Saccharomyces cerevisiae S288C: one gene and its partners. The protein of the gene in region 2 purifies or fractionates together with the protein of the main gene of each other region. This does not show direct contact. Each region holds a gene or a part of one and is shown on either strand. Other genes may lie near its edges.

The links.
Region 1: the proteins of SPT16 (region 2) and SPT5 purify together in Saccharomyces cerevisiae (affinity purification with mass spectrometry; 5 studies listed by BioGRID, with this or other methods). This does not show direct contact.
Region 3: the proteins of SPT16 (region 2) and YTA7 purify together in Saccharomyces cerevisiae (affinity purification with mass spectrometry; 5 studies listed by BioGRID). This does not show direct contact.
Region 4: the proteins of SPT16 (region 2) and CKA2 purify together in Saccharomyces cerevisiae (affinity purification with mass spectrometry; 9 studies listed by BioGRID). This does not show direct contact.

Annotation. Positions count from the first base shown.
Region 1 is NC_001145.3:246,080-251,419, forward strand, and holds SPT5 (transcription elongation factor SPT5), read left to right. Parts: upstream 1-1,597; coding exon 1,598-4,789; downstream 4,790-5,340. Other genes in the region: ERV25 (Erv25p), read left to right, coding at 37-672; RAD33 (Rad33p), read right to left, coding at 816-1,349; mitochondrial 54S ribosomal protein bL33m MRPL39, read right to left, coding at 5,225-5,340. UniProt on the Saccharomyces cerevisiae protein: The SPT4-SPT5 complex mediates both activation and inhibition of transcription elongation, and plays a role in pre-mRNA processing.
Region 2 is NC_001139.9:97,018-102,622, forward strand, and holds SPT16 (chromatin-remodeling protein SPT16), read left to right. Parts: upstream 1-1,951; coding exon 1,952-5,059; downstream 5,060-5,605. Other genes in the region: SIP2 (Sip2p), read left to right, coding at 321-1,568; CHC1 (clathrin heavy chain), read right to left, coding at 5,526-5,605. UniProt on the Saccharomyces cerevisiae protein: Component of the FACT complex, a general chromatin factor that acts to reorganize nucleosomes. The FACT complex is involved in multiple processes that require DNA as a template such as mRNA elongation, DNA replication and DNA repair.
Region 3 is NC_001139.9:1,025,405-1,032,046, reverse strand, and holds YTA7 (chromatin segregase YTA7), read right to left. Parts: upstream 4,678-6,642; coding exon 538-4,677; downstream 1-537. Other genes in the region: SLH1 (RNA helicase), read right to left, coding at 1-256; HUA1 (Hua1p), read left to right, coding at 5,394-5,990; FOL2 (GTP cyclohydrolase I), read left to right, coding at 6,312-6,642. UniProt on the Saccharomyces cerevisiae protein: Functions as an ATP-dependent nucleosome disassembly factor that helps evict canonical histone H3 from the 5'-end of genes upon their induction.
Region 4 is NC_001147.6:439,614-443,065, forward strand, and holds CKA2 (casein kinase 2 catalytic subunit CKA2), read left to right. Parts: upstream 1-1,920; coding exon 1,921-2,940; downstream 2,941-3,452. Other genes in the region: LPL1 (putative hydrolase), read right to left, coding at 1-645; SLD7 (Sld7p), read right to left, coding at 777-1,550; YOR062C (uncharacterized protein), read right to left, coding at 3,112-3,452. UniProt on the Saccharomyces cerevisiae protein: Catalytic subunit of a constitutively active serine/threonine-protein kinase complex that phosphorylates a large number of substrates containing acidic residues C-terminal to the phosphorylated serine or threonine.

The DNA of each region.
Region 1 (5,340 bases), on a different chromosome or scaffold from region 2:
ACTCAGTTGATCTCATAAGTGAAAAGCAAAAAAAGGATGCAGGTGTTACAGTTATGGTTGACAACTTTGATCTCTTTGGTGGTGGCAGTGCAGGGATTACATTTCGACATTGCAGCATCTACAGATCCAGAACAGGTTTGTATTCGTGATTTTGTCACTGAAGGTCAATTGGTTGTCGCGGATATTCACTCAGATGGTTCTGTTGGTGATGGACAGAAACTAAACCTCTTCGTGCGTGATTCAGTTGGAAACGAGTATCGTAGAAAGAGGGACTTTGCAGGCGACGTTCGTGTTGCGTTTACTGCTCCATCCTCCACGGCATTCGACGTTTGTTTTGAAAATCAGGCTCAGTATCGTGGCCGTTCTTTAAGCAGGGCCATTGAATTGGACATTGAGAGTGGTGCTGAAGCTCGTGACTGGAACAAGATCAGTGCCAACGAAAAATTGAAACCTATAGAAGTGGAGTTGCGTAGAGTGGAGGAAATTACCGACGAAATTGTCGACGAATTGACTTACTTGAAAAACAGAGAGGAGAGATTAAGAGACACCAATGAATCTACCAACAGAAGGGTAAGAAATTTCTCAATTTTGGTTATTATTGTCTTGTCCTCGCTGGGTGTTTGGCAAGTCAACTATTTGAAGAACTACTTCAAAACGAAACATATCATTTAAGCAAAGGAAGAGGACCACACCATGCATTTGTGTATCAGCTTACCCTATAATTGCATATGTACTCGACTATTTTCTACATATATATGAATAGATTCCAGAACCGAATAAAGGAGAAAAAATATTTGAATATGGATTTGTTCGCTTCACATCTTTAAGTAACCTAGTTTTCCCAATACGCAACCAAAGTCCAAGTATGTCATGAAAAGCCTCTTGCCATCAGTAGCACAACTAATCATTTCAATGGTCCCAGAACTTTGGTCAGCCCCGATGAGATTGGAGATTTTTTGAAGGTCTTTTACGCTTAATACATGATCTCTTAAGGCCACTTGCGGGAAATCCACGTCTCTGCCACAGTTTCTAATAAGCATCGACCATAAATCATCTATTACTGTTAAATTATTCATCAGTATCAGTAACTGGCATGTGCATCGTACCAGTTTCGTGAAATCTATTACGTCAGTTCCTTCTATAATGACGTCTTCATTTCTCACCAGTTTCCAAATTGTGGGCTCTAGTTGCAAATCCTTGAAGAACCTTGGTAGTTCATTAACGGTCATATCATGGTCCAGACTGGATTCCGCATATTTTTCCAGAATTTCATCTTCAACTTCGATAGGTACTTTCGGGTTCTCGAATAGCTCTACTCTTTCATAACTAACGTTAGTGGATTTGCTCATTGAAAAAAAACTCGGAAGGTATTTAGGTGACCTTGCGGCTTCTTAATGCTGACACCTGCATGCGTAATTGTTATTATATATATATATGATAGTATATTTCATACTTGTTCCTTCTAAAGGTGACCCGCCTGATATGCGACATAGAAAAAAATTTGGATGAACATGTTCAAAGATTGGTAGCATTGACAAGAACCATTCATACAAGTAGGTAACAGCAGAAGGAAAGAGGAACGGGTGTTGTGATAATTATGAGTGACAACTCGGACACAAACGTGAGCATGCAGGACCATGATCAACAATTTGCTGATCCCGTAGTGGTTCCGCAGTCAACTGACACTAAAGATGAAAATACTAGTGACAAAGATACTGTTGATAGTGGCAATGTGACCACAACGGAAAGTACAGAACGTGCAGAAAGTACAAGCAATATTCCCCCTTTAGATGGGGAAGAAAAAGAAGCAAAATCTGAGCCACAGCAACCTGAGGATAATGCAGAAACGGCGGCCACAGAGCAGGTTTCATCTAGTAACGGGCCTGCTACAGATGATGCCCAAGCAACTTTGAATACGGATTCATCCGAAGCAAATGAAATTGTCAAGAAGGAAGAGGGCTCTGATGAAAGGAAGAGACCTCGCGAAGAGGACACCAAAAACAGTGATGGTGATACCAAAGATGAGGGCGATAACAAAGATGAAGACGATGATGAAGACGACGATGACGATGATGATGATGAGGACGATGACGATGAAGCCCCAACTAAAAGGCGTCGTCAGGAGAGGAACAGATTCTTGGATATTGAAGCTGAGGTTAGTGATGATGAAGATGAAGATGAAGATGAAGAGGATTCAGAGTTGGTTCGTGAAGGTTTCATTACCCATGGTGATGATGAAGATGACGAAGCAAGTGCTCCAGGCGCAAGAAGAGACGATAGATTACATAGACAACTGGACCAAGATTTGAACAAGACTTCAGAAGAAGACGCTCAAAGGTTAGCGAAAGAATTAAGGGAGCGTTACGGTAGAAGCAGCTCCAAGCAATACCGTGCTGCTGCTCAAGATGGTTACGTGCCCCAGAGGTTTCTCCTACCAAGTGTTGATACAGCTACCATTTGGGGTGTGCGCTGCAGACCAGGTAAAGAAAAGGAATTGATTCGTAAGTTATTAAAAAAAAAATTCAATTTGGATAGGGCGATGGGTAAGAAAAAACTGAAAATTTTATCCATTTTCCAAAGGGATAATTACACAGGAAGAATCTATATCGAAGCCCCTAAGCAATCCGTTATTGAAAAATTTTGTAATGGTGTTCCAGATATTTATATTTCTCAAAAATTGCTAATTCCTGTCCAAGAATTACCTCTATTACTAAAACCAAACAAATCTGATGATGTTGCTTTGGAAGAAGGTAGCTACGTTCGTATTAAGAGAGGGATCTATAAGGGTGACTTAGCTATGGTCGACCAAATTAGTGAGAATAATTTAGAAGTTATGCTGAAAATTGTTCCTCGTCTGGATTATGGTAAATTCGACGAAATTGATCCAACAACACAGCAACGTAAATCCAGAAGACCAACTTTTGCTCATAGAGCACCACCGCAATTATTTAATCCAACAATGGCTCTAAGATTAGACCAAGCTAACCTGTACAAAAGGGATGATCGCCACTTTACTTATAAGAATGAAGATTATATCGATGGTTATCTGTATAAGTCCTTCAGAATTCAACATGTGGAAACCAAAAATATTCAGCCAACTGTGGAGGAATTGGCAAGATTCGGTTCCAAAGAGGGCGCGGTAGATCTAACATCAGTTTCACAATCAATCAAGAAGGCTCAAGCTGCAAAGGTCACTTTCCAGCCAGGTGATCGTATCGAAGTTCTAAATGGTGAACAACGTGGTTCCAAGGGTATTGTAACAAGAACCACGAAAGATATTGCTACTATCAAACTAAATGGCTTTACAACGCCTCTAGAATTTCCTATCTCTACTCTGAGGAAAATTTTCGAACCTGGTGATCACGTTACTGTCATCAATGGTGAACATCAAGGTGATGCTGGTTTAGTTCTTATGGTAGAGCAAGGTCAAGTGACATTTATGTCAACTCAAACAAGCAGAGAAGTTACCATTACAGCAAATAATCTGTCCAAATCCATCGACACTACAGCTACATCAAGTGAATATGCGCTACATGACATAGTCGAATTGAGTGCTAAAAATGTTGCTTGTATTATTCAAGCTGGCCACGATATCTTCAAGGTTATTGATGAAACTGGTAAAGTGTCGACAATTACGAAGGGGTCTATCTTGAGTAAAATAAATACTGCTCGTGCACGCGTTTCTAGTGTCGATGCAAATGGTAATGAAATCAAAATTGGTGATACCATAGTAGAGAAAGTAGGTTCACGCAGAGAAGGTCAGGTCCTGTACATACAAACACAACAAATTTTTGTTGTTTCAAAGAAGATTGTTGAAAATGCAGGGGTTTTTGTTGTTAACCCTAGTAACGTTGAGGCCGTGGCATCCAAGGACAATATGTTAAGTAACAAAATGGATCTAAGTAAAATGAATCCAGAAATCATTTCTAAAATGGGACCTCCATCATCTAAGACATTCCAACAACCCATCCAGTCCAGAGGAGGTCGTGAAGTTGCACTCGGCAAAACAGTAAGAATTCGTTCTGCTGGTTACAAGGGTCAATTAGGTATTGTGAAAGATGTGAATGGTGATAAAGCTACTGTCGAATTACACTCGAAGAACAAACACATTACAATTGACAAGCATAAGTTAACATATTACAACCGTGAGGGAGGTGAAGGTATCACGTATGATGAATTGGTTAATAGACGTGGTAGAGTTCCACAGGCCAGAATGGGCCCAAGTTACGTCAGTGCCCCAAGAAACATGGCCACTGGCGGTATTGCAGCAGGTGCTGCGGCTACCTCTTCTGGTCTTAGCGGTGGTATGACACCAGGATGGAGCTCCTTCGATGGTGGCAAAACACCAGCTGTAAATGCGCATGGAGGCTCAGGTGGTGGCGGTGTCTCCTCATGGGGTGGTGCTTCCACTTGGGGTGGCCAAGGTAATGGAGGTGCATCCGCTTGGGGCGGTGCTGGCGGCGGTGCCTCAGCTTGGGGCGGCCAAGGTACTGGTGCTACTTCTACTTGGGGTGGTGCTTCAGCCTGGGGTAACAAATCAAGTTGGGGCGGTGCATCCACTTGGGCGTCGGGTGGTGAATCTAATGGTGCCATGTCTACTTGGGGTGGTACCGGTGATAGGTCAGCCTACGGCGGGGCTTCCACCTGGGGAGGAAATAACAATAATAAAAGTACAAGAGATGGCGGAGCTTCTGCATGGGGTAACCAAGACGATGGAAATAGGTCTGCTTGGAACAACCAAGGAAATAAGTCAAACTATGGTGGTAACAGTACATGGGGAGGTCATTAATCACCAAAAGGAGAACCAATATCACCCAAGAAGAAATCAATAAAAAAGACTTTAATATTACCACGTTAATAAGAATAGTTATGAAGATTTCGATGTTTCGATGAAATACTGAATCTCGATCTTTTTTTTTCATTTATGCTTGCATTTGTATGTCACGAGTTTTCCTTGATTCTAACTTTTACATATACGTATGTATGTATGTATGCATATGTGTTTTTGCATATCTAAATGAAATATCAACTTTATTATGAGGGAGTTGATTATTGTAATGTAATTTTATATAACTTCTTTTTCGTTAGCGGAATTTCTTTCCGTTTGAATCGTATACAAAATGTATGTATCCATTACTTATTTACAGGATAAATGAAAAAAAATGCGTAACGTCTGCGTATTCGATGGGCTTACATGCCGGGGCTCGTGCTTATTCATATTTCTTCACTTGGCTGTACGCAAGAAATCCAATGGCTTTCTTTCTGCCACTTTCCTTTTCTTTGCTTCTTTGAAAAGCACATGCCGTTTCACCACAGGATCGTATCTGACCTGAGTAACCA
Region 2 (5,605 bases):
CCTTTTTATCTCACCATTTTTCCTCTAACGAACTGTCATGAAACAACTTAGCATATAACGCGTACTTACATAGATAGATTAAATAGATAACCATGCATATCACTAACTAGCATCGTCATGAATAGCACGTTTACCTATACGAATTGCGGCCGGCATGGTCTTTTATATTGCTCCCTTGGACCGAGTAAAGATTTACCTTGCGTTTTCGGATCGTCAAAATCTTTTAGGGAAAGGATAAATACACCACAAGATTCCTGGGAAATGAAAAGTATCTGAAATAATTGTGCTTTTGGAAGGGTACTGAGAGCAGTGAAGTTTCTATGGGTACTACGACAAGTCATCCAGCCCAAAAAAAGCAAACAACAAAAAAGTGTCGTGCACCTATCATGAGTGACGTTAGAGAAAAACCCAGCAATGCTCAAGGCTGCGAACCGCAAGAAATGGATGCTGTGAGCAAGAAAGTTACTGAACTGAGCTTAAATAAATGTTCAGATTCCCAAGACGCGGGGCAGCCTTCAAGGGAGGGATCTATTACCAAAAAAAAATCGACGTTATTGCTGCGTGATGAGGACGAGCCCACTATGCCAAAGCTATCTGTTATGGAAACTGCTGTGGACACTGACTCTGGGTCTTCGTCTACTAGCGATGATGAAGAGGGAGATATTATTGCCCAGACGACAGAGCCCAAGCAAGATGCCAGTCCTGATGATGATCGCTCAGGCCATTCTTCGCCCAGAGAGGAGGGACAACAGCAAATACGTGCCAAAGAAGCTTCGGGAGGTCCAAGTGAAATCAAGAGCTCATTAATGGTTCCCGTGGAGATAAGGTGGCAGCAAGGTGGTTCAAAAGTTTACGTGACAGGCTCATTCACCAAATGGAGGAAAATGATCGGTTTGATACCTGATTCTGACAATAATGGCTCATTTCATGTGAAGCTAAGGCTGCTTCCAGGCACACATAGATTCAGATTTATAGTGGATAATGAGCTTAGAGTTAGTGATTTCCTGCCCACAGCAACTGATCAGATGGGAAACTTCGTCAATTACATAGAAGTCAGGCAACCAGAAAAAAACCCAACTAACGAAAAGATAAGGTCCAAGGAAGCAGATTCCATGCGACCTCCCACCAGCGATCGATCCTCAATTGCTCTACAAATTGGTAAGGATCCAGACGATTTTGGTGACGGATATACAAGGTTTCATGAAGATCTGTCACCCAGACCTCCGTTGGAATATACAACAGACATTCCCGCCGTGTTTACTGACCCGTCTGTCATGGAACGATACTATTATACCTTGGATCGTCAGCAAAGCAATACTGATACGTCATGGCTGACACCACCCCAATTACCTCCTCAGTTGGAGAATGTTATCTTGAATAAATACTATGCCACGCAAGACCAGTTCAACGAGAACAACTCAGGCGCTCTGCCCATTCCGAACCATGTGGTGCTTAACCACTTGGTTACTAGTAGCATTAAGCACAATACACTTTGTGTAGCCTCCATCGTTCGATATAAACAGAAATATGTCACCCAGATTCTTTATACGCCCATAGAGTCCTCGTAATCCGGGATTCCTACTTTTTAAAGGCGTATTGTATATATTTTTGGCAGCTATGGCACACTAATTTCTATTTCCAATTTAGTGTAAGCAGAGATATAGAAGCATATAACATAATGATTTACTAATGGGCTCAGTACTCTCAATGCTTATTGTTATCACAAACCACGATACTAATACCCGGAAGTCGCGTGATCTTTTTTTTTTTCGGAAAATGAGAATCGCCACTTTTCTAACGAAAGAATATTGAAATCTTAATATTGGTGAGAAGAGGAATAAAAGTAGCTAAGAGAGTCACGGGACTAAAAGGTAAAAAGTTCAGCTATTCCAACTTTACTCCTTTCTGATATTGCACCTTTCGTGAACTGGCTTCGTGTATTTAAGTGAATATGGAAGAGCTGAATATTGATTTTGACGTATTTAAGAAAAGGATTGAATTGTTGTATTCCAAGTACAATGAGTTTGAAGGTTCTCCAAATTCGCTGCTGTTTGTTTTAGGTTCGTCCAACGCTGAAAACCCGTACCAGAAGACGACCATATTGCATAATTGGTTGCTAAGTTACGAATTTCCCGCTACTTTGATTGCATTAGTTCCCGGAAAGGTTATTATAATTACTAGTTCTGCCAAGGCCAAGCATTTACAAAAGGCAATTGATCTATTTAAAGACCCTGAAAGCAAAATTACGCTGGAATTGTGGCAAAGAAACAATAAAGAACCAGAACTCAATAAAAAGTTATTTGATGACGTTATTGCCTTAATCAATAGCGCTGGTAAAACAGTGGGTATCCCTGAAAAGGACTCTTACCAAGGTAAATTTATGACTGAGTGGAACCCAGTATGGGAAGCGGCTGTGAAGGAGAACGAATTCAATGTCATTGATATTTCGCTGGGTCTTTCTAAAGTTTGGGAAGTGAAGGATGTTAACGAACAAGCCTTCCTGTCCGTTTCAAGTAAGGGGTCGGACAAATTTATGGACCTTTTATCCAATGAAATGGTTCGGGCAGTTGACGAGGAGTTGAAAATCACCAATGCCAAGTTATCAGACAAAATTGAAAATAAAATTGATGATGTGAAATTTTTGAAGCAATTGAGTCCCGATTTAAGCGCATTATGCCCACCAAACTACAAATTCAACTTTGATTTATTGGATTGGACCTATTCTCCAATCATTCAGTCCGGGAAAAAGTTTGATCTTAGGGTTTCTGCCCGTTCTACCAATGATCAGTTGTACGGCAACGGTTGTATTTTAGCTTCATGTGGTATTCGTTACAATAATTATTGTTCTAATATTACTAGGACCTTTTTGATCGATCCATCTGAAGAAATGGCCAACAACTACGATTTTCTATTAACTTTGCAAAAAGAAATTGTAACTAACATTCTGAAGCCCGGCCGTACACCAAAAGAAGTTTATGAATCAGTAATAGAATACATCGAAAAAACCAAACCTGAACTAGTGCCCAATTTCACCAAAAACATTGGTTCATTGATTGGTCTCGAATTTAGAGATTCTAACTTTATATTAAATGTTAAGAATGATTACCGTAAAATCCAACGCGGTGACTGCTTTAATATTTCGTTTGGTTTCAATAATCTGAAAGATTCTCAAAGTGCTAACAACTACGCTTTACAATTAGCTGATACGGTTCAAATTCCTCTCGATGAAACAGAGCCTCCACGCTTCTTAACAAATTACACCAAAGCCAAATCCCAGATATCATTTTATTTCAATAATGAAGAAGAAGACAATAATAAAAAGAAATCTTCACCTGCCACCAAAGTCCCTAGTAAACCAGACAGAAATTCCAAAATTTTAAGAACAAAGTTACGTGGCGAAGCCCGTGGTGGTGCCGAAGACGCTCAAAAGGAGCAAATTCGTAAAGAAAACCAAAAGAAGCTACACGAAAAATTGGAAAAGAATGGATTACTCAGATTTAGTGCTGCTGATGCCAATGGCCCAGATAGTGAACCTCGTCAATACTTCAAAAAATATGAATCTTATGTTCGGGATTCACAACTACCAACCAATATTCGTGATCTAAGAATTCATGTCGACTGGAAAAGCCAAACAATTATTCTACCCATTTACGGTAGGCCAGTCCCATTTCATATAAATTCATATAAGAATGGTTCTAAAAACGAAGAAGGCGAATATACGTATTTACGTTTGAACTTTAATTCACCGGGATCTTCTGGTGGTATTTCTAAAAAAGTGGAGGAATTGCCGTATGAGGAATCAGCAGACAATCAATTTGTACGTTCGATTACACTAAGATCCAAAGATGGTGACCGCATGAGTGAAACCTTTAAACAAATTGCAGATTTGAAAAAAGAAGCCACAAAGAGAGAGCAAGAACGTAAGGCGCTTGCTGATGTTGTTCAACAGGACAAATTGATTGAAAATAAAACTGGAAGAACGAAAAGACTGGATCAAATTTTTGTGAGGCCAAATCCAGATACAAAACGTGTACCTAGTACTGTCTTTATCCATGAAAATGGTATCAGATTTCAATCCCCACTAAGGACTGATAGCAGAATAGACATATTATTCTCAAACATTAAGAATCTAATTTTTCAATCTTGTAAAGGTGAATTAATTGTCGTCATTCATATTCATTTGAAGAATCCAATTTTAATGGGTAAAAAGAAAATACAAGACGTCCAATTCTATCGTGAAGCTTCTGATATGTCCGTCGATGAAACTGGAGGTGGAAGACGAGGTCAATCCAGATTCAGAAGATATGGTGATGAGGATGAGCTGGAACAAGAACAAGAAGAAAGAAGAAAACGAGCTGCGCTTGATAAAGAATTTAAGTATTTTGCAGACGCAATCGCAGAAGCATCAAACGGTTTATTGACGGTGGAGAATACATTTAGAGATTTGGGCTTCCAAGGTGTCCCAAATAGATCGGCAGTTTTCTGTATGCCAACTACAGATTGTTTAGTTCAATTGATTGAACCACCATTTTTGGTGATTAACCTAGAGGAAGTCGAAATCTGTATTTTAGAAAGAGTTCAATTTGGTTTGAAAAACTTCGACATGGTTTTTGTTTATAAAGATTTCAATAAACCCGTCACTCATATCAATACAGTTCCGATCGAATCTTTAGATTTCTTGAAGCAGTGGTTAACAGATATGGATATTCCTTACACTGTCTCAACAATCAATTTGAATTGGGCAACTATTATGAAGTCATTACAAGATGATCCATATCAGTTTTTCTTAGATGGTGGTTGGAATTTTCTGGCTACTGGTTCAGATGATGAAGCATCTGATGAAAGTGAAGAAGAAGTTAGTGAATATGAGGCTTCAGAAGACGACGTAAGTGATGAAAGCGCATTTTCTGAAGATGAAGAAGGATCAGAGGTGGATGACGATATTAGTGGTGATGAAAGTGAGGACTATACTGGCGACGAGAGTGAGGAAGGTGAAGACTGGGATGAATTAGAGAAAAAGGCTGCTAGGGCTGATAGGGGTGCAAACTTTAGAGATTAGACTTTATAACACTTACTGGGTTTCACCAGCAAGACCTTGATCTGACAGAAAATTACTCTTATGTATCTGAAAAATAATGATGGTATTTAGGCATAGTATTTATCAATGCTAAGAAATGTAAATGGACTGAATGTACACTCAATGCTAACGGTCAAGGTCATAGGACGTTTGCGTAATAAAAGAAACTCTACTAGAGTTGAACATAATTTGATATAAAAGTATATAAATTGAAAAGGCAGTTTCAATCATTTTAGTTTCTGCAATTTATTTATTCCTGTAATCTACAATTTTATAGTTGGGAAATTCTCTCGAAAATATTAAGAAAAATACAGAACTCATAAGGTCTTTTTTATTGGCATTTTGAAATCCCCTCAGATAATCAAAGATGCTAACAAACAAAATAATAACGGTAAAAAAAAAAAAAATACACGATGGGGTACAGCAAACGAATTATTTTATCCACGTCTTAAAATCCTGTGGGTTGAACGTTCATCGCGCTGTTCATCAGCATCAAAGGTTGGCCATCTTTGTGCTCTTCATTAGATC
Region 3 (6,642 bases), 930 kb from region 2:
TTATAGATTGCAGTTGAGCAAATGAAATGTCTTTAAACTCCTCAAATATATCATCCCAATCATTTCTATCTTGTGAGAGAACAGTTAGTTCAGTTCTTTGATTTTGTTCATCCTTTTGGACTTTTTTTAGCTCGTCATCAAAATCTGGTAAAGAGATTTTCGATCTATCTAGATTAAAGGTTTGTGAAGTATCAATCATAGATTGCATTGCAATCATAAATGATTTAGATGAATCAGCAGAGTATTCAGTTGACATCTTGAGCCGGCTATTGATGGTACGGATCTACTTCTCACAATTCCAATGGTGTTAGAAGATATTATGAACATGTTTAATTTCAATATGTTCAATACATATTCCATTCTCGGTCATTACCCGAAACGTATGCCAGAACAGTGACTGTTAAAATAAAGTAGTGGAAAAAAGCATAATATATATACAAGGTGTGGTTTTAAATCTATTTCTTTTCAAGAAAAGTGCACATTCATGTATATGAACTAACTACATTTAAGAATTATATAAACATTATGGACTCCTGCTTATTCAGATAAAAATTTTATTATTTCATCGACAGTTCCTGTTTTATCCCATGCTGATTTACTTTTCCATATTATTTTTGCAACGGACGAATGAACATCTTCTAATTGAGAAACCGTAAAATTCTGACAGTGTTCGATTAAGCATGCAGATACTTTTTTTATTTGTTCGGGCGTCAAAATAAGCTCCTTGTCGCTCTTCTTCCCTTGCTCCGGTTCCACAACCTCTTTTGGTATCGGACTTCGTTCCCTTTTTTCTACCGTTTCGTGGAGGGAATTTGGTTTGTTAACCGATTGAATTTCCTTTACGTGATTTATATTATTAGTATTAGCGTCTATTTTGCTGAAGTTTTCTTCCGTAACCTGCGTTTGCAAAGAGTCTTCATTCTCTTTTGGTTCTTTTCTGGCCCTTTCATCATCATCGGTGGTTATCTCTGACGTGCAAGTGGCCTGTATCAGTTCCGTTGTGTATTCTTCATTTGCACCGCTATCCTCAGGGATGACCGCTTTTTCTTTATCTACTGCAGAGGGAATTGCCGCAGGAATCTCCTTTTTATACAGGTTGGTATCAATTGGTTGAGGGACCTCGCTGTTATTAACGATAGAGGCTGTATTGATAGTTGTTTGCAGCTGAGCTTGCAATTGATTACCAGCAGCTACACCAAACTCATTAGCCTTGTTATCCTTTAAATCAGGTTCTTGCAGTATATTTTCTTGACTCTGTTCTTTGGCTTCTAATTCCATTGCAGCTCTTTTCTCTTCATCTTCTAAGAAAAGTTCCTGCCTTTCCAAATCCCTTTGGCGAGTAGCTTTACACTCTTGAATAAAATCCGGGGTTGAAATTTCTTCGATACCCATTTGCGCGTTGGCAAACATCTCAGAGGCCTTAATGACACGTTCTCTGTCCCCAATGGTATTTGCATCCCTGTATATCAGTTCAATGTCTTTTAAAAACTGTTTTGGTTCTGAGTAATAGCCATTCCAAAGTCTCTCTTCGACAATATCCAAATCCATGTTAAAAAACTTTCGCCCTGTTGAAACCTCCAGAATCATGTTCTCATCTTTTATATATGCAGGTTGCCAATTGGGATCATTGCTTGTCTCTGGTTCGAAAAGATGAACCAAGAAGGCATCATCAATAGGTGGTTTTCTAAACCTTTTATATCTGTTTTTAAAAAGATCCATCAAGCCTGAGAGTTTGATTTTTAACACATTTTTCAATCTCATATCTTGGTGTTGAAAAGATTTCAACTTCCTTCTTAATACCACTTTTTCAGACAGTGGCTCACCATTTTCATCAAAATTTGTTGGAGCTGCGTTTGAAGTTACTTTTTGTAATTCAGGTAACGGTTTGACTCTTCTCTTTTTCATGGGAATATCACTTGGCTTTGTTTTCAGTAGTTCAATTAAATTAGAAAAATACCTCGTTATATTCTCTTTGGATGGTTTATGCAGTTGAAAGATATTTTTATCAAAAGCAAAATCAGATAAAATACCATTTTTAACTTCAGATATATCAAGATTTTCAGCTAAGCATAATAGAAGAATTTTTTCATTGCTTTGTAAAGATCTGAACAAACCTGATAAGACTAAAATAACGTTTTCTGGAATAGTGTTGATCCAAATGTCTAAATTAGGAATAAATACAACTGAGGGCTGTCTTTTCTTTGCTTCCATAAAACTTTGCACTACAGCAGCTTCAATAGTCCTAGAACTTTCCGAAACCAAAGAGGCAAGGTCCAGGTTTTGGACGTTGAATTCTTCTAAATAATTTAAAATTGCGGCTCCGACATATTGTTGACCATTTCCCTTGGGCCCATTTATTAATAACCGAGGTTTACAAATTTGTGATTCCGCCATCGATTCGAAAAACTCATATGATCTAAAACTGGATGTATCTTCATTTCCTCCATATTTGTCATGCTCTTCTTCCTCTCCACTGTATTCTTCATAATCGATGAAATTTTGTAGCAATGATGTGTTTCTCTGAAAAGTTGTGTCTTTAATGTTCAGCATATAATCCAGCTTGTTCTTTAAATTATTAAGTTGATCTGCCAGTAATGGTTTGATTAATTCAGGTAGTGGCTGAGGAGAACTACCAGTAGATCTCGCAGATGACGGAACAATTTTTTTCAAAGCTAACATGAAATCGCTAACTTTGACTTTAATCTTAGAAGGGTCCACCAAGAGTTTATCATTTGACCTATAAATTTGAGGAAAGCTTCTTTGTATACTTATTAGTGCAGCCTCAGTGCATAGGGACCTCAGATCAGCACCACCATATCCTTTGGTCAAAAAAGCCAATTTATCAATGAAGTTGGTTGACAACGGTGAACTCCATTTCCTGGTCTGAATTTGCAAAATTTTAAAACGTGCTTTAACATCAGGTAATGGAAAATAAAATTCTCTATCAAATCTTCCCGGCCTTCTTAATGCGGGATCCACTGCATCGGGTCGATTTGTGGCTCCGATGACAATGACTTGGCCTCTATTGTCCATACCATCCATCAGCGCTAATAATGTGGAAACAATACTAGCATGGATCTGTTCTTGTTTGGAACTTCTCACAGGCGCTAATCCGTCGATTTCATCAAAAAAAATGATGGAAGGTTGATGTTTTTTAGCTTCTTCGAATAACAAACGGAGTTGTCTTTCAGCTTCACCAACCCACTTGGATAAAATATCTGCACCTTTACGCATAAAAAATGTGATCTTCCTTTCATCAGAAGAACAACTTGCTGCTAACGCTCTTGCCATAAGTGTTTTACCCGTACCAGGAGGACCATGGAAAAGAACACCCCTTGGGGGCGTGATATTAAAATTTTGATACAATTCTGGGTATAATAGTGGTAAGGCCACCATTTCCTTTAATTGGTCAATGTAGTTGTCTAAACCACCTATATCGTCAAAATTTACATTCATGTCTACGCCTAATGGATCGAGGTCTGCAATTTCTGGTTTTTTCTTCTTCTTTTTTTGCGTGTTCTCTTTCTTTGTTTTCGGTGTCACGCCAAGAGGTAATATCTCATCATCGGAAGAGTCTGAATCCAGTATTAATTTATTGTTGTTATTATCACTGAATGCAGATGGGACTTGGTTGTAAAAATTAGTATTCTTACCAAATATTGTAGTTACGTCATTGCCACCAAAAGGTCCACCAGTGGGAAAAAGCCTTCTTGTGGGACCAGAATTTTGACTAGCATTCCAACCACCGCGACCACGCCGTGCAGGTGATGGGTTATGAAAAGAAAGTGCATTGTTATTCTTATCTATAAATTCTTCTGCGTTGCTAGCAGTTAGTGGTGGTGGTAATTTGTAATTTACCGGCTTAGTTCTTTCGCGAAGAAATCTTTTTTCCCTGATAGGACTATCTTCCTGTAACTCTCTAATTTCATCAGCTAAAGTTAACGCTTCATTCCTGCTATTATCATTCTCATCGTCATTTTCTTCATTTGAAGTACGCGAATGTCTTGTCCTACTTCTTAAAGCTCTTCTTACCGGTGGTGGAGTTTCTGGGTGACGTGACGATCTTGTTCTTCGAGAATTTGCCCTTTTCAAACGTTTAGAAGAAGCCGAATGGCTTATTCTGTCTCCTTCTTCGTCATCCTCATCGTATTCTTCATCGTCATCAGGGTCTGGTACTACAAATTTCCTATCGGCCGCTCTGCGCCGACGGTTGTTATCCTTCGAGTCTTCATCCAAATACTCATCTTCAAATTCGTCTGCTTCTTCCTCCTCTTCATCATCGTCGACATCTTCCTCATGAAAACTTTCGTCATCTTCTTCTGGATCATGCGCTTTTCTTTTTCTCAAGTTCCTTTCATTAGTAAGCTCTTCGTTCGTTCTGGCGTTTTCGTGCGGTGATACAAGATCAACATCATCGTCTTCATCATCGCCTTTCTGGTTGTTGTTATGATGTTCATCACTAGTAACATCAACGGGCGTCTCATCTTTGTCCATGACCTGGTCATCTTCCAAAAAATCAAACACTTTCTCAATTTCTGCGTAGTTTATTTTTCTCAAAGAGCGAGTTGTTGTATGGATTATGCCATTTTCGTCTTTAATCTGTGTTTCATACCCAACCTTTGCGTTGCTTGCATCTTCAACGTCGCTACCGCGTCTATTCCTTAAATTTCGTGCCATGTTCTTTCTGCACCAATTGTGAATAAATAGCGAGAAGAGAGAAATAGACCGTGGTAACTTCTTTTTATGACTGTCGAAAACAACAATGGGTTAGTAAGGAGTACGCAAGATCCTTCAGACGTTTTGCTTTATTTAAGACCCTACGCAGTTCCTTTTCTGCTCCTTTTCGTCCCAATATTGCTCTTTCGCTACCACTTTGTCCTTTTTCGCACACATGGCCGTACAAAATAACAGACGGTACGTTTTTAGTGATAATAAACAAGTTTATAGAGGCAGAAAAAAATTCCTCAGCGGCTAATGCCTCAACAAGTTCAGCTGCAAACGATGAAAAGACGCACACAAAAGCGAATAGAAATAACCGATCACCACAGTTCCTCTTTAAAACATCTCAAACTCAGCATTAACTTTCAAATCAATCCAGTGAAAGTATGCTTGGTTTGACACTTCACTGCCATTTCCTCCTGCCTGCCTATCTGATGCTTTGCCACCACAAGAGTGTTTTCCCTATGGCTTAATCGCTTTTTTCCATTTATTTTTCTCTTTCCCCCTTTTAATAGAGGGAAGAGAGCAGAACATACAAACATATCATTTTCTACGGTATAGCCTCCGCCTCCATCTTTAATAGTGACACTTCCATCAAGGGAATAAAGAGGCTTCAAGTCAAGAACTAAGCAGTCCCAAAAAATACCCATAAAACGAGTATAAACCATACTGTTATGTCTAAAGACACGCATGATGATGAACTGCCGAGCTACGAGGACGTAATCAAGGAAGAGGAGAGATTGCAATCTCAACCGCCACGACCACCAAGACCAGCAGCTAACTTGGCGCAAGGGCACCAATCAAGACCCCACCAAAGGCCCTCGACAATGCCAGCAACGTCCTCATCCCAAACATATGCTCACTCACACTCTTATACGCCTACAAGTTCCCAACCACGGCCTCCACCGAGGCCACAACAGAATCCTAGCTTGCCCTGGACATACCCTCCCAGGTTTTACTGTTCCAAGTGTGGAAATACGGGTTACAAGTTGAAGAATGGACGATCTTGCAAGTCGTGTTGGAGGAGGTTTGCACCTCAAAATAACGTTGTTTCTGCACCGACATATTACACAAACTATACAATGCCCGTGTACACCAACGCATGGCAGGGTAATAGGCCCTTGTACGTTCAACCAGGGGATCCTCGCCTGGGTGGCGTGCTATGTGGTGAATGCAGAGGGTCCGGACGCACCAGATTCCTGTTGGACGAAGATATATGTCCTCTTTGTCATGGTGTAGGCAGAATTATCACCCAGCCTCAACGCTATTAGCGCATGAAAATTTAGGATTTGGATGACCCGGTACGGCCTTAGTAGAAAAGCTGTGTCGCTCACCGAAAAGAAAAAAGACCGAACAACTGTAGGATGAAAAGCATATTTTAATGCTCCTAATTTTCAAACATGTCTATTACATACTTATCACATAATCCGACTGATTTGCCCTTCTTTAACTTCTTTCATTTATTTTTACGGTGCCAACCGTCTGATCGATATAGCATCCGTTCATAAAATATTATACGACTCCATCCTCAATCGTGATTGTGCGTGCGTGACTCATTTTTTGTTAGAACCAATACTTTCAATCATCCCAAAATGCATAACATCCAATTAGTGCAAGAGATAGAAAGACATGAAACCCCGTTAAACATTAGACCTACCTCTCCATACACTTTAAACCCTCCTGTCGAGAGAGATGGGTTTTCTTGGCCAAGTGTGGGTACAAGACAACGTGCAGAGGAAACTGAAGAGGAGGAAAAGGAACGAATTCAACGCATTTCAGGCGCTATCAAGACAATTTTGACCGAACTGGGTGAAGATGTCAACAGAGAAGGTCTACTAGATACTCCACAAAGATACGCTAAAGCCATGCTTTATTTCACTAAAGGTTACCAAACGAACATTATGGACGATGTCATTAAGAATG
Region 4 (3,452 bases), on a different chromosome or scaffold from region 2:
AAATGGGTCGCAATCCGTAATAAACGCCGTATAGAAGGCTACCGTACGGTCATTTTTGACATTCGCAAACGCTATCCTCCATTTAAATAGCGAGAGTGCTTCAAGGTACTCACCCTGGCTCAATTTCACCAATATATTGTTACTAGAATTTGCGATAAACATTTCTCTCCCGCTTTTACCTAAAATAGTAGATCCCAAGGTCCTCAGCGCACTATATAACGCACTTTTATATGCTATGCCCGTAGGATTGTAAAACTCTACCCCCAAATGAGGCGTTGCCATTGTAATGAATAATTGTGGTTCAATATCCTCGAACAGTTCTTTAAATTCGGTCAACATCTTACCGATCATAAATCGGGCCACTAATCCGCCTTGCGAATATCCCATTACGCTTAGTTTGGTGATTTTCCCGTCTTTATAATCTCGGATAAATTCACAAACTTCAATCAATGTCCTGTACCCAATGATTTCGATACCATCAAACGTCTTAAACATGGCATTCTGCTTTGGTAAAAAATATATCATATCATCGTTAACATCTTCCTTTTTTAATGTAGTGGATAAAATTGTCCTCATAGATTCCATATGAGTATAGTTACCCCATAGCCCGTGAATCAGCACAAAAAGGTGTTTATCCGAAGTCATCTGAAGCGCTGTATAATATATATGGTTGATCACACGAAGTTTTCTACCGATTATTGCAGTAAAGAGTTGCCACCCTTTCTTTATTATCTTTGTTTTTCATTTTGATCTTATATACTGAAAATCCCCGTTGATCATGATTTGGTAAAGAGCTTCAGAAGAGTTTCCACAGTTTCCTGCAATGATTCAAACGAAACCTCTTCACCAGATCCCATCGAAATGCGTTTTAATTCATCCCTGTGCGTAAATTCAGCTGCATCAAACGTTATCTTGTATAACTTTTGATAGTCTGTAATAGAATTAGAAATACCTCGAAGTCGGAGGCCACCCAAAATTAGCTTGGACAAAGTTTCATTGAATTGAAGCCGTTTGTCATTAATATGCACGTTGCGATACACTTCCGTTTTCGTTCCGATCTTCCTTTGTTGAGATTGTTGTATTATTATATCAATACTACCTTCCTTTGATACGGAGGCCCTTGTCTTTCCAATATCTTGCTTCAATTTGGTGACCTGGCCATCAAACTCATGCTTCATTGTTAGATCCACTTGAAAGCAGTTTAACTCTGTGTTCTCTCGAAATATAATCAAGTATGCTGGCTCCTGCGATCGCTGATCGACCTTGTCAAACAATTCAATGACAATGCCACGATTCGCGTTCCTTAGTTTTGATTTGAAGTAAGCCTGTGCGGTTGCACTGGTACTATAACATCTATATGTATTCATATTTGTGGAGCGGACCCACAAAGGCAGTTTTGCGAGATCTACATACTGAATGAATTGTCCCCTCAACTCTGAAGTTGATTTACTTGCTGTAGGTCGATTGCTCCAAAGTTGGATATCCCTAATGACCAAACTTCCCTGCTTTCCGCTAAGAGTAAAATTTAGTGTGCATAATTTCCGTGACATCAAAAGTCAGGCGAATTGGTGAATGCTGTCCCCTTTCAAGGCAGTCTATCATTTCTTAGTTACCTGCCAACAGGCCTTTATCAGGCCTCAAAGAAAAAAATTTCCTTGCGTAGCCCGCTTTTCGCCCGAACCTGGCAAAGCAAACAGACGATCGAAAAATTTCCAACGATCTTATCTAGGTGGAAGTTATAAAAAGAAGAATAAAGCATCGTCAACCTTTTTAACCTGAATTGGGAAACAACGGGCACACACATTTGTTGGAGTTTGTATGATTGCTAAAAAATAAAAAGTAATTAAAAAAACATCATAGAGTTGTAAGGTCTCAGGGAAATAGAAGGAACAATAAACCTAAAAGAATAGAAGAAACAGAATGCCATTACCTCCGTCAACATTGAACCAGAAATCTAATAGAGTCTACTCTGTAGCTAGGGTGTACAAGAATGCCTGCGAGGAGAGACCACAAGAATACTGGGACTACGAACAAGGGGTGACCATCGATTGGGGAAAGATTTCCAATTACGAAATTATCAACAAAATTGGAAGAGGGAAATATTCCGAAGTGTTCAGCGGTAGATGTATTGTAAACAACCAGAAGTGTGTTATTAAAGTTTTAAAACCAGTTAAAATGAAAAAAATTTATAGAGAGTTGAAAATTCTGACCAATCTAACAGGCGGCCCCAATGTTGTTGGCCTTTATGATATAGTACAAGACGCTGACTCCAAAATACCTGCTTTGATCTTTGAGGAAATCAAAAATGTTGATTTCAGAACTTTATATCCTACATTCAAACTTCCTGACATCCAGTATTATTTCACGCAATTATTGATTGCGTTAGACTACTGTCACTCCATGGGCATAATGCACAGAGACGTAAAGCCTCAGAATGTCATGATTGATCCTACGGAACGTAAACTAAGGCTGATCGATTGGGGCCTGGCGGAGTTCTACCATCCAGGTGTAGATTACAACGTTCGTGTCGCTTCGCGTTACCACAAGGGACCAGAACTTTTAGTAAACTTGAACCAATATGACTACTCCCTAGACTTATGGTCAGTAGGATGCATGCTAGCAGCTATTGTCTTCAAAAAAGAACCTTTTTTCAAAGGGTCGTCTAATCCAGATCAACTGGTAAAGATTGCCACAGTACTAGGAACCAAGGAACTGTTAGGCTATTTGGGTAAGTACGGGTTGCACTTACCATCTGAATACGACAACATTATGAGAGACTTTACAAAAAAATCGTGGACACACTTTATAACCTCCGAGACCAAATTAGCTGTTCCTGAAGTGGTTGATTTAATCGACAATTTATTAAGGTATGACCATCAAGAAAGATTAACAGCAAAGGAGGCTATGGATCATAAGTTTTTCAAAACGAAGTTTGAATAATTGGACAACAATACTCTTAGCAAGGCAATTCTTTTTCCACCACTGATTTCCATTTATAAAAAGCAGGGGTTTTCCTTTTTTGTAGCTTGATATTAGAGAATATCCTTAATGTGAATATTAAATTGCAAACTCTATTTAACAACGAATGTAGATTATTATATGACCAGAAAATCACTTTATATAGATATAAGAGCCTTCCGTAATGCTATGCAAGTTTTGATGAATTATTATATTGTCGTGAGGCGTGTTCCGAGGAGTTTCGTCGCCATTGGGATAGAGATGCTCGTAATCGTACGTGTCTGGAAGTGCCTGCCGACGGTAGCGATGTCTACTCTCGTCCCAGACAATGGAATAGTTTTGGAATTGTTCTACATCATTTATTAGAACACATGATTCACGAAATCTCCCACGTTTGTCAATATCTCGCCTACGAACAGTGTCATCGAATGATATTGAACGCTGAGAGAGCCATTTACCTTTTGAGTAAAATACGCTGCCTTTTTTCAGCAATG